2 linked regions of the Elephas maximus indicus genome follow. The protein of the gene in region 2 binds, or shares a complex with, the protein of the main gene of each other region. Links are inferred from orthologs where the notes say so. Each region holds a gene or a part of one and is shown on either strand. Other genes may lie near its edges.

What was found. Proteins that work in one complex are often made in the same cells at the same time.
Region 1: CELF1 (region 2) and CALR3 share a complex: the UniProt entries of both Homo sapiens proteins name them as parts of the EIF2 complex. The link is inferred for Elephas maximus indicus from reciprocal best matches to the Homo sapiens genes CELF1 and CALR3.

Annotation. Positions count from the first base shown.
Region 1 is NC_064821.1:36,719,024-36,726,558, forward strand, and holds the start of CALR3 (calreticulin-3), read right to left. Parts: upstream 3,003-7,535; 5' UTR 2,944-3,002; coding exon 2,853-2,943; intron 2,644-2,852; coding exon 2,542-2,643; intron 316-2,541; coding exon 112-315; intron 1-111. UniProt on the Homo sapiens protein: During spermatogenesis, may act as a lectin-independent chaperone for specific client proteins such as ADAM3. Required for sperm fertility. CALR3 capacity for calcium-binding may be absent or much lower than that of CALR.
Region 2 is NC_064825.1:102,899,155-102,906,303, forward strand, and holds the start of CELF1 (CUGBP Elav-like family member 1), read right to left. Parts: upstream 3,009-7,149; 5' UTR 2,930-3,008; coding exon 2,859-2,929; intron 1-2,858. UniProt on the Homo sapiens protein: RNA-binding protein implicated in the regulation of several post-transcriptional events. Involved in pre-mRNA alternative splicing, mRNA translation and stability.

The sequences.
Region 1 (7,535 bases), on a different chromosome or scaffold from region 2:
GCCCTTATGCTGACCTCACGGTGTTTAGGCAGTCTTAGTCTACAGCTCAACCCAGCTGGAAGGGTTTTCCAGGGCTCTAGGAATGGCTGCACTGCACACATGTGAACTCACCGAACATAACGTAGTACTGTGATTTCCCATTCAGGTTCTTCTGGTCCACATCTGCGGGAAAGACCTTGATGTAGCCCCCTCCGCAGTCCATCTTCTGCTCATGTTTCACCGTGTACTGAATCACCAGGGTCTTCCCTTTATTGCTAAATGGTTTGAACCGTGCAGAGATGGCATAGAATCGCCCATTTTGGGTGGTCTGCAGACCTTTCAATGAAAAGTACTAATGTAGGATTAGGATGACACTGTGCTCAGGGACTCAGGAAAGTGAAACGATGTTGTCCCCCCAACCCCAATAATAAACGTCATGGAAAACAACCTGTTGCTGCCCAGTCCATTCTGATTCATGGCAACCTTATGTGTTACAGAGCAAACAGCTCCACAGGGTTTTCTTGGCTGTAATCTTTATGGGGGCAGATTGCCAGGCCTTTCTTCCACTGTACCACCCCTATTTCAGTAGCAAATAATACCAAACAGGCATACTGCTCACTGGCTCTCTGCTTCCACAGACCTTACAGTTCACACACCTGGACATTTTTGTACTTAACACAGTGCTGTTATAAGTGTAGAGGGTTTTGGTTCAGTAGCACAATTCTTGGCTTCCATGCAGGAAGCCCAGGTTCCACTCCCAGCAGAGTTACCTCACGTGCGGCCACCACTCATCTGTTTGCGGAGGCTTACACGTTGCTAGGATGCTGAACAGGTTTCAGCAGAATGTCCAGACTAAGAAAGACCAGGAAGAAAGGTCTGGTGAATGACTTTAGAAATCAGCCCATGAAAACCCTATGGGTTACAATGGTCCAATCCGCAACTAATCACGGACAGAGCTCAGGACTCCGCAGCATTTCATTCCGTTGTGCGTGGGGTCGCCATGAGTTGGAGGTGACTGAACGACTGCTGGGCAAGTTTGAACTGCCAACCTTTTGGGTTAGTAGCTGAGCACAGACTGTTTGTGCCACCCAGGGATCAATATGTCCAAACCTGAACTAATAACTGCCTCTTACTACCACACCCCCTCTCTCTGGTCCATTCCTCCCCTCCCGCTCCCCCCCTTCCCCAGGGATTCGTGACCCCTCTCTTTCCCTTACCACCCACCATCTAGACAATCCCCCAAGACCAACTGAGTCTCTGCCTCCCACTGTGTCTGGTCCCACTCTGGTGCCCCTTCACCCTTTCAGCACCGCCCCCATCTCATTGTGGCTAAATTCTACTCATCTTCCAATTCATGGCTTCAATGTCATGGTCCTAGGAGACCAGGAGGGACAGGGCCTTTTTACTGGGTGTTCCCATGTCTGCTCTCAGTAGTCATGTGCCCAGGGAATGAATGGAACATGCACTCTCAGAATTCCAAATGAGAGAAAGGAAAAAATTGTGGAAAGAACCCAAATGATTCAGAGGAGTAGCCCAAGTGGAAATTCCTGTCTTTTGACAAGTTCCATGGAAGTAAAAAAAAAAAAAAATTGCTGTTGAGTCAGCTCCGATTCGTGGTGACCCCATGTGTGTCAAGAGTGGACCTCTGCTCCACAGGGTTTTCAGTGGCTAATTTTTTTGGCAGTAGATTGACAGGCTTTTCTTCCGAGGTATCACTGGGTGGGTTCAAATAGCTAAACTTTGTTAGCATCCTAGTGCTTAACCATCTGCACCAGGCAAAAAACCAAACCAGTTGCTGTCAAGTTGATTCTGACTCATGGCGACCCCATGTGTGTCAGAACAGAACGGTGCACCACAGAGTTTTCAACGGCTATGACCTTTTGAAGCAGCTCATCAGGCCTTTCTTCCATGGCAACTCTGGGTAGGCTCTAACTACCAATTCCTTAGTTAGTAGTCACGTGTTTAGCCATTTGCACCACCCAAGGACTCATTCCGATGGTTGTTAGTTGCCACTGAGTTGATTCAGACTCCTTGTCCTTCCAAAAGGGGCCCTGGTGGCACAAATTGTTAAGCGTTCCTTTGCTAACTTTAAGGTCGGTGGTTTGAACACACGCAGAGGCTCTGCGGAAGACCTGGCACTCTTCTTCAGTAAAGATTAACCCAGCGGCGGCAAAGTTGGTTCTGACTCACAGCTACCCTATAGGACAAAGTAGAACTCCCCTAACAGGGTTTCCAAGGAGCAGCTGATGCATTTCAACTGCCAACCTTTTGCTTAGCAGCGAGCTCCTAACTGTTGTGCTACCAAGGCTCCTCCGTAAAGATTACAATCTAGGAAACCCTAGGAGACAGTTCTCTCTGTCATTTTGTAGAGTCACTACGAGTGGAAATTGACTGGGAGGCAACTAACAAGTGCTCATAAAACAACTCCCTAAAGTCCTTGTCTTCCTTTCCTCACCTGTAAAATAGATGTAACAGGTGTTGGAGGGGTCACCACACCTACCTTGCAAAGTTGCTAGGGGCGTTAAGCATTTAGCTTCATTTTCCCAGGATCCCTACACTAACCTTTATCTTTCTCCTTATGACCATAAAACTTCCCCGACGAGAGTCTAAAATGCCCGAATTGTGAGTCATTGGTGGACTGCACCCATCGGTTCCTCCAGCGCTCTGTGGGGGGAAACAACACCGGTGAGGGCTGAAAACTATTAGTTTGTGTCATTGGGAGGGTGAGGGGGCGCTCGAGGCCTCGAAACATCGAGGCTCCGCCACCCTCAACCCCGCAACAAGGGGCCTGGGGCCAACGGCGACACGGCCGTCCGTTGGGCAGCGAAGTGGGGGGTCCTCACGCCCTCGCCAGCGGACGTGGCCCCTTTCACCTCCGTCTAGAAACTCCTCCTGGAAGTAAACGGTGGCCAGCGCCACCCGCAGCAAGCAAACCACCCACAGCTGGACCTCAGCCGCCGCCATGGAGGCCAGGTGGCGCCTCTACGACTGCTCCTCGCTCCCAGTAGCCTCCTCGCAGCTTGCCGGCCCGTCCCAAAACTACAACTCCCGGCAGGCCCCGTGATTATGACCCGGCCTCCTATTGGTCCCCTGCGCGCGGTGCACGCCGGGCCTACCCCAGACCTACTACTCCCATGACGCCCCGCGATTGTGACTGGCTATGCCATTAGTCTCCGCAGCGCAGTGCATGCCGAGAGTTGTAGTCTAGTCTCTTCCTCCCCAGTGCTGTTGCCCGGGCAACGGTCCCCTCCGGCCTGGGTGCCAGGCCTGAGCGCGGCGGCGGCCACCGCGGATGGACAGCGTGGGAGGAGGTCGGAGGGGCCGGTGGGCGGCAGCTGGGCGAGGGGCGCTCCAGCTCGGGAGATGACTGGGAGGAAATGGGGGCACTCTTCAAAGCTGGGATTGGGGGCGACGGAGAGAGCGAACCTCAGTTTCTCTGCCTGGGCCCCACTCAGGAGCGTGGTCCGGTGCAGGTGGCACCCAGGGTCTGGGGGAAGAGCCGGGATGGTGTGAGCAGCGGCAGTGTTTTCAAAGTTTGGTTTATTTATTTTGACAACTCTGGTGGCGTAGTGGTTAAGAGCTATCGCTACAAACCAAAAGGTTGGCGGTTCAAATCCACCAGGCGCTCCTTGGAAACTCTGTGGGGCAATTCTACTCTGTCCTGTAGGGTTGCTATGAGTTGGAATTGACTCGACGGCAACGGGTTTGGTTTTTTGGTTTCATTGAGGTTAGTGGTGTCACTAGGAGGGCACTGTTAGAGAGGGTGACTTTAAAATGACCCCAGGGTCCGAGGCGGTGGGCACACGGATGCAGCTGGGGCAGGGGCCGTCAACGCGGTGGCGTCACTAGGGCTGGATTCACCTGTCACCCAGTGCGGTAACTCGTCACTCCCCCCTTCACCCGCCAGTTAAGGTATCAGCAGCTGGGTCTTGGTACCTGCCATAGGGCGAAAAGGAGAGTTTGGCCCACGGGAAAGGGGAGGAGCTGTGGGGACAGGCCGAGCCTGGCTGCTCCTCCAACCAGGGGGGGTTTCGCGGCCAGCCCCGCCCACTCCGGCCGGGGGTCGGGTAGGGGTGTGTGACACCGTGAGGTACCACACTGGGCGATACCAACACAAGTGATGCCGCAGATTGAGGTATCATTTACATAAGAATTACTCATTTTAAATGTACCTGTATCAGTTGCATAGAATCACTTCCTACTCCTGTGGACCCCATGCTGTATCAGTGTTGAACCGTGCTCCATAGGGTTCCCCCCCCATAGGGTTTTAAGTGGCTGAGGTTTCAAAAGTAGATCGCCAGACCTTTCCTCCAAGGTGCCTCTGAGTGGACCTCCAGCCTTTCAGTTCGCGGGCGAGCGTGTTCACTGTTTGCACCACCCAGGGACTCCTTTTAAATGTACAATTCCATTATTTTTAGTAAATTTACCAAGTTTAGCAGCCACCACCCCTCTCCAGCTTTAGAACATTTCCATCACCCAAAGAACATCCTTCCCACCCCTAGTCCCAGGCAACTACCAATTTACTTTCTGTCTCTATGAATTGGCCTGTTGTGGACATTTCAAACAAGTGGAATCATAACCTATGTGGCATTTTGCATCTGGTTTCATTCCCTGTACCATGATGTGTTTGAGATTTATCCATGTTGTTATATCTGTATTTGTTCTTCTTTATGGCTGTATAGTATTCCATTGTATGGCTAGACCACAATTTGTTTATCCATGTGTCAGTTTGTGAACATTTGGGTTATTTCCACTTTTTGTATATTACAAATGATAGCTGTCATGAATATTTGCATATGAGTCTTTGTGTGGATATATTTTCAGTTTTCTTGGGTATATGCCTAGGACTGGAATTGCTGGGTCATATGGTAGTTCTGTGTTCAGCTTTTTGAAGAACTGCCAGATGGTTTTCCCTCGTTCCTTTTTAAAAAATATTTTATTGTGTTTCTGGTGAAAGTTTACACAGCAAATTAGGTCCCCGTTTAACAATTTCTATACACACTGTTAAGTGACGGTTACGTTTTTCACCATGTGTCAACATTCTCATTATTTCCATTCTGGTTGTTCTGTTGCCATTAATCTAGCTTCCCTGTTCCCTGCCCCCTCCCACCACCACCCTTACCTTCTCATCTTTGCCTTAGGGTAAATGTTGACTGTTTAGTCTAATATAGATGATTCCCTTGTTCCTTTTTAATGGATGTATAGTCGTCCACTGTCTGGATGGGTCTCCTGGACCTCACCAGTTCTCTAGGGATGGATTTAGGCTTTCGGTGAACACAAACAATGCTGCCATGAGTTTCCTTGAACATACGTCTTCATTCTCCCCCACGCTTTTTTAATTGTGGTGAAAATATTTACACTAAAACATATACCATCTCAACAACTTCGACATGTGCAAGTCAGTGATATTAATTATATTCTTCAAATTGTGTACCCATTCTTGCTATCCTTTTCCAAATTATTCCACCACCGTTAACATAAACTCACTGCCCCCTAAGCAGAAACACTCCTTTCCCTGCTCTCCCGCCCCCTGACAACCACTGATAGTCTTTGGTTTCTATATATTTGCTTGTTTCACGTAAGTGAGATCATACGGCATTCCTCCTTTTGTGACTGATTTATTTCACTCAGCATGATGTTTTCAAGGTTTGTCCATGTTGTAGCGCACATCAGGATTTCGTTTCTCTATATGGCTGAGGACTATTCCATTGTGTGCATATACCATATTGTGTTTATCCATTTATCTGTCAGTGGACACATTTTGGTTGTTTCCACCTTTTGGCTGTTGTGAAAATGCTGCAGTGAATGTTGGTGGAGAGGTTTCTGTTTGCGTTCTTGCTTTCACTTCTAGGTAGATACCTGGGTTTGGGATTGCTGGGTCGTATGATAGTTCTATGTTCAGTTTTTTGAGGAACTGCCAAACCATTTCCCACAGCAGGTGCACCATTTTACATTCCCACCAGCAATGGATGAGGGCTCTAGTTTCTCTACCACCTCACCAACACCAGCTGTTTTCCTTTTTTTTTTTAAATCACTGCCATTCTAATGGGGGTGAGGTTGTATCTCACTGAAGTTGTGATTTACATCTCCCTACCAGCTAACGGGAGCCCTGGTGGTGCACTGGTTAAGACCTTGGCTCCTAACCAAAAGGTGGGCAGTTCAAATCCACCAGCAGCTAACGGGAGCCCTGGTGGTGCACTGGTTAAGACCTTGGCTCCTAACCAAAAGGTGGGCAGTTCAAATCCACCAGCCGCTTCTTGGTAACCCTATGGGGCAGTTCTACTCTGTCCTACAGGGTCGCTATGAGTCAGAATCGACTCATCGGCAACAGGTTTTGAGTTTAAATAGCTAATGTTGAGCATCTTTTCATGTACTTGTTGGGTCTGTTCAAGTCCTTTGCCCATTTTTTGGTTGGGTTGTTTGTCTTTTCGTTGTAAAGTTGTAGAAGTTTTAAAAATATATTTTGAATGTTAGACCCTTACCGGTTATGGGTCTCTCTGTGCACTTTTGAAAGAGAAATCTCAGGTAAATTCCTTGGGGTGGAATTCCTGGATGCCAGCACCTAAGGAGCCGGAGCCCATACCCACTCATGCTGTGGTCTAAATCTTTAAAATCTTTGTAGATCTTGCAGTGGCTGGTATGTATTACAGAGGCTCAATGGAACCCTGAGAATCTGATGTAAGTGCTCACCCTTCTCCCCGGAAAAGTACACCCAGTATCCCCATGCAGCACATTGCAGACATTTTAGGGGGCAGGATGCTGCATCTGCCCATCGGCCCTACCCAGGGCAGTGGTCCTACTTTAAGTGTAATAAGAGTTTCTGGGGACCTTGTGAAACATACATTGCATTTCACTTGCTGTCGTGAGTGAGCTGAGGTTGCTTTGATGCACGGCTGCGGCTGGGAGCAGGGCTCTGTTGGGGTGTTGTGGGGATCAGGTGAGGCCAGAAGTGCAGTGGTTGGCAGTGTGGTCTTTGAAATTGGGCCCGAGCTTTGAATTTGGCTCTGCTACCCCCCAAGCCAAGGAGCCCTGGTGGTGCAATGGTTAAGCACTTGGTTGCTAACCAAAAGGTCGGCGCTTAAAAGAACCCAGTGGCTCCATGGGAGAAAGACCTAGTTGTCTGCTCTTGTAAGATTACAGCCTAGAAAACCCTATGGGACAGTTCTACTCTGTCAAATGGGTGGCCATGAGTCGGAATCGACTGGGTAGCACAACACCAACATTCCCCAGCCAGTGACCTTGGCTGGTCACCTACCTGTGTGAGCTTCCATCTCCTCCACTTCCTTGTAAAACAGGGAGGACGGTAACCAACTTACAGAAGTGCTATGAGGATGAGAGGAGATGATATACCATAGTGCTAAGCGGATGGCCAACTCGCTACCTAGTCCCAGAGGCGCCAACGGTTATGTTGAATGAGTTTCGTTTAATACCTGGAGCTGAATGGTAGTTGACTTAGTGGGGTTGTTAGCTGTCATTGAATCATGACGACCCTGTGCACAGTGGAACGAAACACTGCCCGATCCTGTGCCATCCCCTTGATCAACTTCAGACTGGAC
Region 2 (7,149 bases):
AACCTAACAATTCCACTTCTAGGTATATACCCAAAAGTACTGAAAGCAGGACTCAGACAGATAGTTGTACACCAATGTGCAGAAGAGTATTATTCACAATAGACAAAAGGTAGAAACAATCCAAGTGTCCAACAACGGATGAACGAGTACTAAATAACAATGTGGTACACACATAAATTGCAGTTATAGTCAGCCATAAAGAGAAATTGATGGTCTGTTTCACAGTCGGACAGTCGTTTGAACAGAACAAGGGGATACTGTGTGGTTTAAAGTCAGAAAAGGTGTGCATCAGGGCTGTATCCTTTCACCATACTTATTCAGTCTGTATGCTGAACAAATAATCTGAGATGCTGGACTATATGAAGAACGGGGCACCAGGATTGGAGGAAGATTCATTAATAACCCGCAGTAGGCAAATGACACAACCTTGCTTGCTGAAAGTGAAGAGAACTTGAACCACTTACTAATGAAGATCAAAGGCCACCGCCTTCGGCATGGATTGCACCTCAACATAAAGTAAACAAAAATCCTCACAACTGGACCAGTGATCAACATTATGATAAAAGGAGAAAAGATTGAAGTTGTCAGGAATTTCACTTTACTTGGATCCACAATCAACACCCATGGAAGCAACAGTCAGGAAATCAAAAGACGCACCGCACTGGGCAAATTTGCTGCAAAAGACCTCTTCGAAGTGTTGAAAACCAAAGATGTCATGTTGAAGATTAAGGTGTGCCTGACCCAAGCCATGGTGTTTTCAACTGCCTCATGTGCACGCAAAAGCTGGATGATAAATAAGGAAGACCGAAGAATTGACACCTTTGAATGGTGATGCTGGGAAAGAATACTGAATATACCATGGACTGCCAGAAGAACAAACAAATCTGTCTTGAAAGTACAACCAGAATGCTCCTTAGAAGCAAGGATGACGAGATTACATCTCACATACTTTGGATATGTTATCAGGAGGGATTGGTCCCTGGAGAGAGACATCATGCCTGGTAAAGCAGAGGGTCAGTGAAAAAGAGGAAGACCCTCAAGGAGATGGAATGACACAGTGGCTTTAACAATGGGCTCGAGCTTAACGGCGACTGTGAGGGTGGCGCAGGATACAGCAGTGTTTCGTTCTATTGTACGATGAGTAGAAACTGACTCAACAACACCTAACAACAACATAAAGAAAAATGAAGTTCTGATGCATGCTACCACATGGATGAAAACATTATAAGCGATATAAGCCAGACATAAAAGGACAAGTTCTGTATGATCATACGTATATGAAATATCTAGAATAGGCGAATGCACAGAGATAAAAATAGATTAGTGGTTATCAGATGCTGGAGAAACGGGGGAATAGAAATAATTGCCTAACAAAAATAAATAAGTAAAATGGGTGAAAAACCCACATGGTACATTTATTAAAATACAGATTCTTGTAGCCCAAGAATTTCTGGGCATGCATCCAGGAATCTGCATTTTTATGTTCCAGGTAACTTTCATGCAGTGGTCTACTGTCCACACTTCACAGAACAGTGGATTAATCTTTTTTTTTTCTTTCTTAAAAGATGAGAAAACAGACTCAGGAAATGCTGTATCTCAGGGTTAGACACTGGGGAGTGGCAAAGCATAGAGAGAAAGTGTTACAATGAAAGATAATTTGAGCCACAAAATCCTATTTCTAGCAATCATACATCTGGGACATGGGAATACCTTTATTATGTATTAAGTCTTTATGACGGTATTCACCATAATTTCACCAATATCTACCACTAAAATAAAATTTTAGCAGGAAAGAGCCCTCATAAAAAGGCCCATTTGAATTACCATTATTTTGGAGACTACAGACAAGGCATACGATCCATTTTCAAATGGGCAAGCCAGCTAACTTTGGAGACCCCCAAACTATTCCACAAAGAGTCATTCGGTATCTGCTATCACCAACACCTGACACCCCTAATCCCAGGGCAGACTGATTTGCACATGGAGGCCTGAGCGCAAAGGCTTGCACTAACACCTGTTATCTAGAGAACAGACTACTGTTTAATATTCCTGGCTTCGAATAACAACGCTGGTTTGTTTGTGGTTCCAAGGTACTTTGAAGCACGGTTAAAGCAACTGAAATCGGAAGTGCAAGATGTGTCCTCTACAAAGCCCAGAATTTAGGTTCCCTCAGGGCCAGGCTAGCATTTTCGCTGTGTCACTTCTTACCCAGTATTGGAAGCTGATGAACTTTCTCATTCCCATGTTCAAAATTTATTTGGGCAAACTGCCCATCAAGATTGATCCAGTTTTGTTTTGGGGGGTGGGGGGGATCTGATATTCCTGAAATCATGTGCTCAGTTGCATTTTCAGTCAGATTGGGAAAAACATCAAGGTCCAGGTTACTCTCTGCATGTCAATACAGAATGCTGCAAACAACACTAAATACATCCTGGCTACCAGTCCCCTCTGTGATATGAGAATTTGTTAACTAAAAAAAAATCCTTGCATACTCAACCCAAAGCAAAAAAGCTACAGTTAAAAAATACCTTGGAATCTACCATAGGGGAAAACACTACAGCTTTCAAGCTGCATTCCCTTCAGGGACTGGAACCAGCACACTTGAACTGATGTTGCTGGTCACAAAGCAAGTGCACCCCTATGTAAAGAACTTAGTTAGGGCCTCGAGGAAACCAGAAGTCATGAGATAGAACCAACATGCTACAACAGAAAACAACAGCTTGAGAGAATTCAGACTTTAGCATCCTCACCCAATTATTTCTTCCCTCTTTCTAGGAAAGAGACCAGTTTCACCACACAACAAAGAAACAGACCAATTTTTCTGCTTATTATAAAAATTAGACCACAAAAATACTTACACGGGACCGGAATTCAAAGAGCAATGATCCACCATCATTTCTGGAAGGAAATCCAACTTAAACACAGCCATCACCTCTCTCGTCTTCAGAAGCCAATGATATTAACTTGCTGCCCTTGTCTGATCCACAAATACACACAGCCTTAGCTTCCTGAGCCCCACAAAAAACACAAAGTACAGAAAACAGGAGCTCAGGGAAACAAGCAGTAAGTGCCACAGAAACAGGCAGGACTGGGGAAAGGAGAGGGAATACTGGATTAAAAGGGGGATGTGACCATGTGAAGGGAGGCTCAGCCCAGCACACAATGAAAGTGCTGATGCACCAGGCTTGTTTTGTGTGATTTTCCCTGGCGAAGCAGTACTAAGTGCACTGTCAGATAAACAGAGTGTCAGATCCATGAAGATAGCAGTGGCTAACAGAGCAGAAGAAACACAAACTTGTTTCACATCCTCCAGACTCCTCCCTTCAATGAGTTTTTGAGGTACCCCAAAACTGAAACTATCTCACGCAAAAAAAAAAAAAAAAGAGCTTCCCTCATGTAGTCTGAAAATGGTTCTAGAAGGAAGAACTTAGTTGTCAGCCTTGGTGTTAAACACAGTTTCCATATGCCAAAGGCAGCAATGGTCTAAACTAACTCTGGAAGAATTGCTTAAGTAGTGAGTGGAAACACCACGAGAAGCAGGCCAGAGGCAAGATGGCTGAGGAACTGGCCGCCAAAAACGTAGCACGCACATATAACAAGGTGTGCTGCCTAATGATTTCTCATTGGGGTGAAGGACTTTAAAAAATCCCTGGCTCAGTGACATTCATTAGGTGGCACAGGCAAAAAATTTTTACTAACCCTAAATCTTACTCTGCCATAAAATAAAACGGAAGAGTAATATTGCATCTCTTGATAGAGTACTAGGAAATTATGCCTTTTCAATTCTCTGAACTTTTTTTTTTTTTTTTTTTTAAAGAAAAAAAGGCAAACAAAAACCACCACAACGATAATAATGAAGAAAAACTGGGGCCTATCAGGGACAGACACTCAAACACATTAGGGAAGGACAAAAGAATGTAGGCTGAGTCTTGTCATTCTCTCTCCTCCTTTAAACTTACTAAAAACCAAGACTAGTAACTGCACACATAAAAATTCTATTACGGGTGAGCAGGAGAAATAGATATACTCAGCAGTCAAGGCAGATGTGGTGCTCCCGTTCTCAATTTAGCTTCACATCCCTCCAAACAGCAAATGGTGGCATTTCAATATTTAGGCAGTGACTCTAAAACTATCTCTGAAGGTTCCCAAATTTCTTTCCATTTTTTATCATTAGGGTTGCCTGACCTCAAAAGATTTCACCCAAGTTCAGTTCATAACACAGGCTACTTCGAAAGAGAAGATATGTTCAGCCTGTGAGGAGGTAAATGAATAAAATCCCAAACATATATAGTTACTTAAAAAAAAAAAAAAGAAAGAAAGAAAAGGCAGGATGGCATGAACTTAAAAGTTCTAATCTGTATTACAATGGCAGACACCTGTCTGCATTTGACTCAGGCAGGTAGAAATTCTATCTGCTGCCCAATGTTCCTGTCTTGGTTATCTAGTGCTGCTAAAACAGAAATAACACAAGAGGATGGCTTTAAAGAGAATTTTATTCTCTCACAGTCCACCAGGCCAAACTCTGAATTCAGGGTGTCAGCTCCAGGGGAAGGCTTTCTCTCTCTATCGGCTCTGGAAGAAGGTCCTTGTGATGCCAGTCTTCCCTTGGTCTGGGAGCTTCTCAGCATAGGAACCTCAGGTCCAAAGGACACACTCTGCTCCCGCACTGCTCTCATGGTGGTATCAGGTCCCCGTGTCTCTCCGCTTGCTTCTCTCTTTTATATCTCAAAAGATTGGCCTAAGGCACTATCTAAGCTTGTAGAGCTCATCAATATAATTGCCACTAACCCATCTCATTACATCATAGTGATAGGATTTACAACACATAGGGAAATCACATCAGATGACAAAATGGTAGACAATACTGGGAATCATGACCTAGGCCAAGTTGACAGATATTTTTGGGGGGACACAATTCAATCCGTGGCATTCCCTCCTCTGGCCCCCAAAAATTCATGTCCTTGCCACATATAAAACATATTCACCCCATGTCATAGCAAAAGTCTGAAATCAACTTAAATTCAAAATCCAAAACTTCCTCTTCATCTGTGAAATTCAGAATATAATTTATCTGCTTCCAAAGTATAATGGTGCAACAGTCACAAGGTAGGTATTTCCATTACAAACAAGAAAAATTGGAGAAAAAGAAGGCATAACAGGCACCAAGCAAGTCAGCAGAACACACTGCATTAGCCCTCATGGCTTGAAAATACTCCTCTTTATCTGAGATCATTTACATAATAGCCCTGCCCTACAGACTCTAGGTATTGGCCATACTCTCTGGATTCTGAGTGGAGACCCTTCCATCCTGGGCTTCAGCTCTGCCTTCCAGGCCCACTGGGACAGCAACTCTGTTCCCTCAGCTTTAGGTGCACCATCCTCCTAGTCCATCTGAGTGGTGACTCCACCCTTAGAAACACCAGAGGCCGTGGCTCCACCCTTCGAAACCCCAGAGGTTGTGGCCATACCTTTTGAGACTGAGGCAGCTTGGCTTCCTCTGTTCCTTGTCTCTTCAACTTCTGCTTCCCGGTTTCTTGGTTTTTTGGCCCTCAAGCCTTCGTCTGTCCTGCTGGGGCAGGTGTTCCAAAGCTCTGTAACTCCACCAGTAAGTGCCTGGAGCACCCCACTCTGCCAGTAAACTTCAGCTGGAAGGCACTCAGCTCTCTTGCTCCGTGGGTCAGCAAGCCTAGCTCCATCTGTAAGTGCTCACAGGCACCCCGCTTTGCCAGGAAGCATCCTTCACAAAGGCATTCAGCTCTCTCGCTCCATGGGCTGGCTGCAACGCTGTCTTGCACTGATCTCCTGGTTCTGCCAATGTCGGTCCTCTGCCGTTGCTTCTCGCTGTCTGTGTCGTCTCCGACGTAACAGCTCTCCTCGCTTCCTTGTAAGTCCTTGATCAATTCACAGTTTCAAAATCGCTTCCACATTTTAGGTATCTGTTAAAGCTGCACCCCACTCTCAGTACCAAAATCTGTCTTGGTTATCTAGTGCTGCTAAAACACAAATACCACAAATGGATGCCTTTAACAAAGAGAAGTTCATTCTCTCACAGCCCAGTAGGCCAAAGTCTGAATTCAGGGCACAGCTCCAGGGGAAAGCTTTCTCTCTGTTGGCTCTGGAAGCAGGTCCTCGTGGTGCCAGTCTTCCCTTGGTCTGGGAACTTCTCAGCACAGGAACCTCAGGTCCAAAGGACACGCTCTGCTCCCGGCACTGCTTTCTTGGTGGTATCAGGTCCCCATGTCTCTCCGCTTGCTTGTCTCTTTTATATCTTGAAAGACTGGCCTAAGACACTATCTAATCTTGTAGATCCATCAATAAAATTGCCACTAATCCATTTCATTACATCATAGTGATAAGATTTACAATTCATAGGGAAATCACTTCAGGTGACAAAACGAAACACAATCATACAATACTGGGAATCATGACCTAGGCCAAATTGACAGATATTTTGGGGGGGCACAATTCAATCCATGACAGTCCCAAATCTAGAAGTGAACAACAGCTAACTGGTTTTGTCAGAGGTCCTGGCTCATTTGATCTACTCCTTTAGAGGTAGAAGTGTCAGGGGCACTCTTTCACTGTATTAAGGGGGACAGCAAAAAACAGGATGCAAGTGAGAGGAGACTGTGTAACTGACACACAGTACACAGCTCACCAAGCCCTGACTGTCAGGCAGGCAGAGGATGTAACCCTAGCTGGGACTGGCTGGATTACTGGGTAGGTCTGTCCTACTTTCTCCTCAGCAGACTAGAGCTGATCACATGAAGCTTCCTATAGAAATCTACCTGGACCAAGGAGTAACTTTGTGAGGCTGGTCAAACACCAAATTAGATTCTTTAGTTCAAGGATTTCTTTTTAATGTCAACAACTTTCAAGCAACTCACTGGTTATGGTTGTGCTTTTATTATTCACAAATTCAAAAAATAAAAACACAACCATAACCAGTGAAATTCCTTGAAATTTGTTGACATTAAAAGGAAACCTCTGAACTAAAAAAAAAAAATCTAATTTGGTTGTTGACTGGCCTCACAACTGGACCAGTAAGCAACATCATGATAACGGAGAAAAGATTGAAGTTATGAAGAATTTCATCTTACTTGGATCCACAATCAATGCTCATGGAAGCAGCAGTCAGGAAATCAAAGG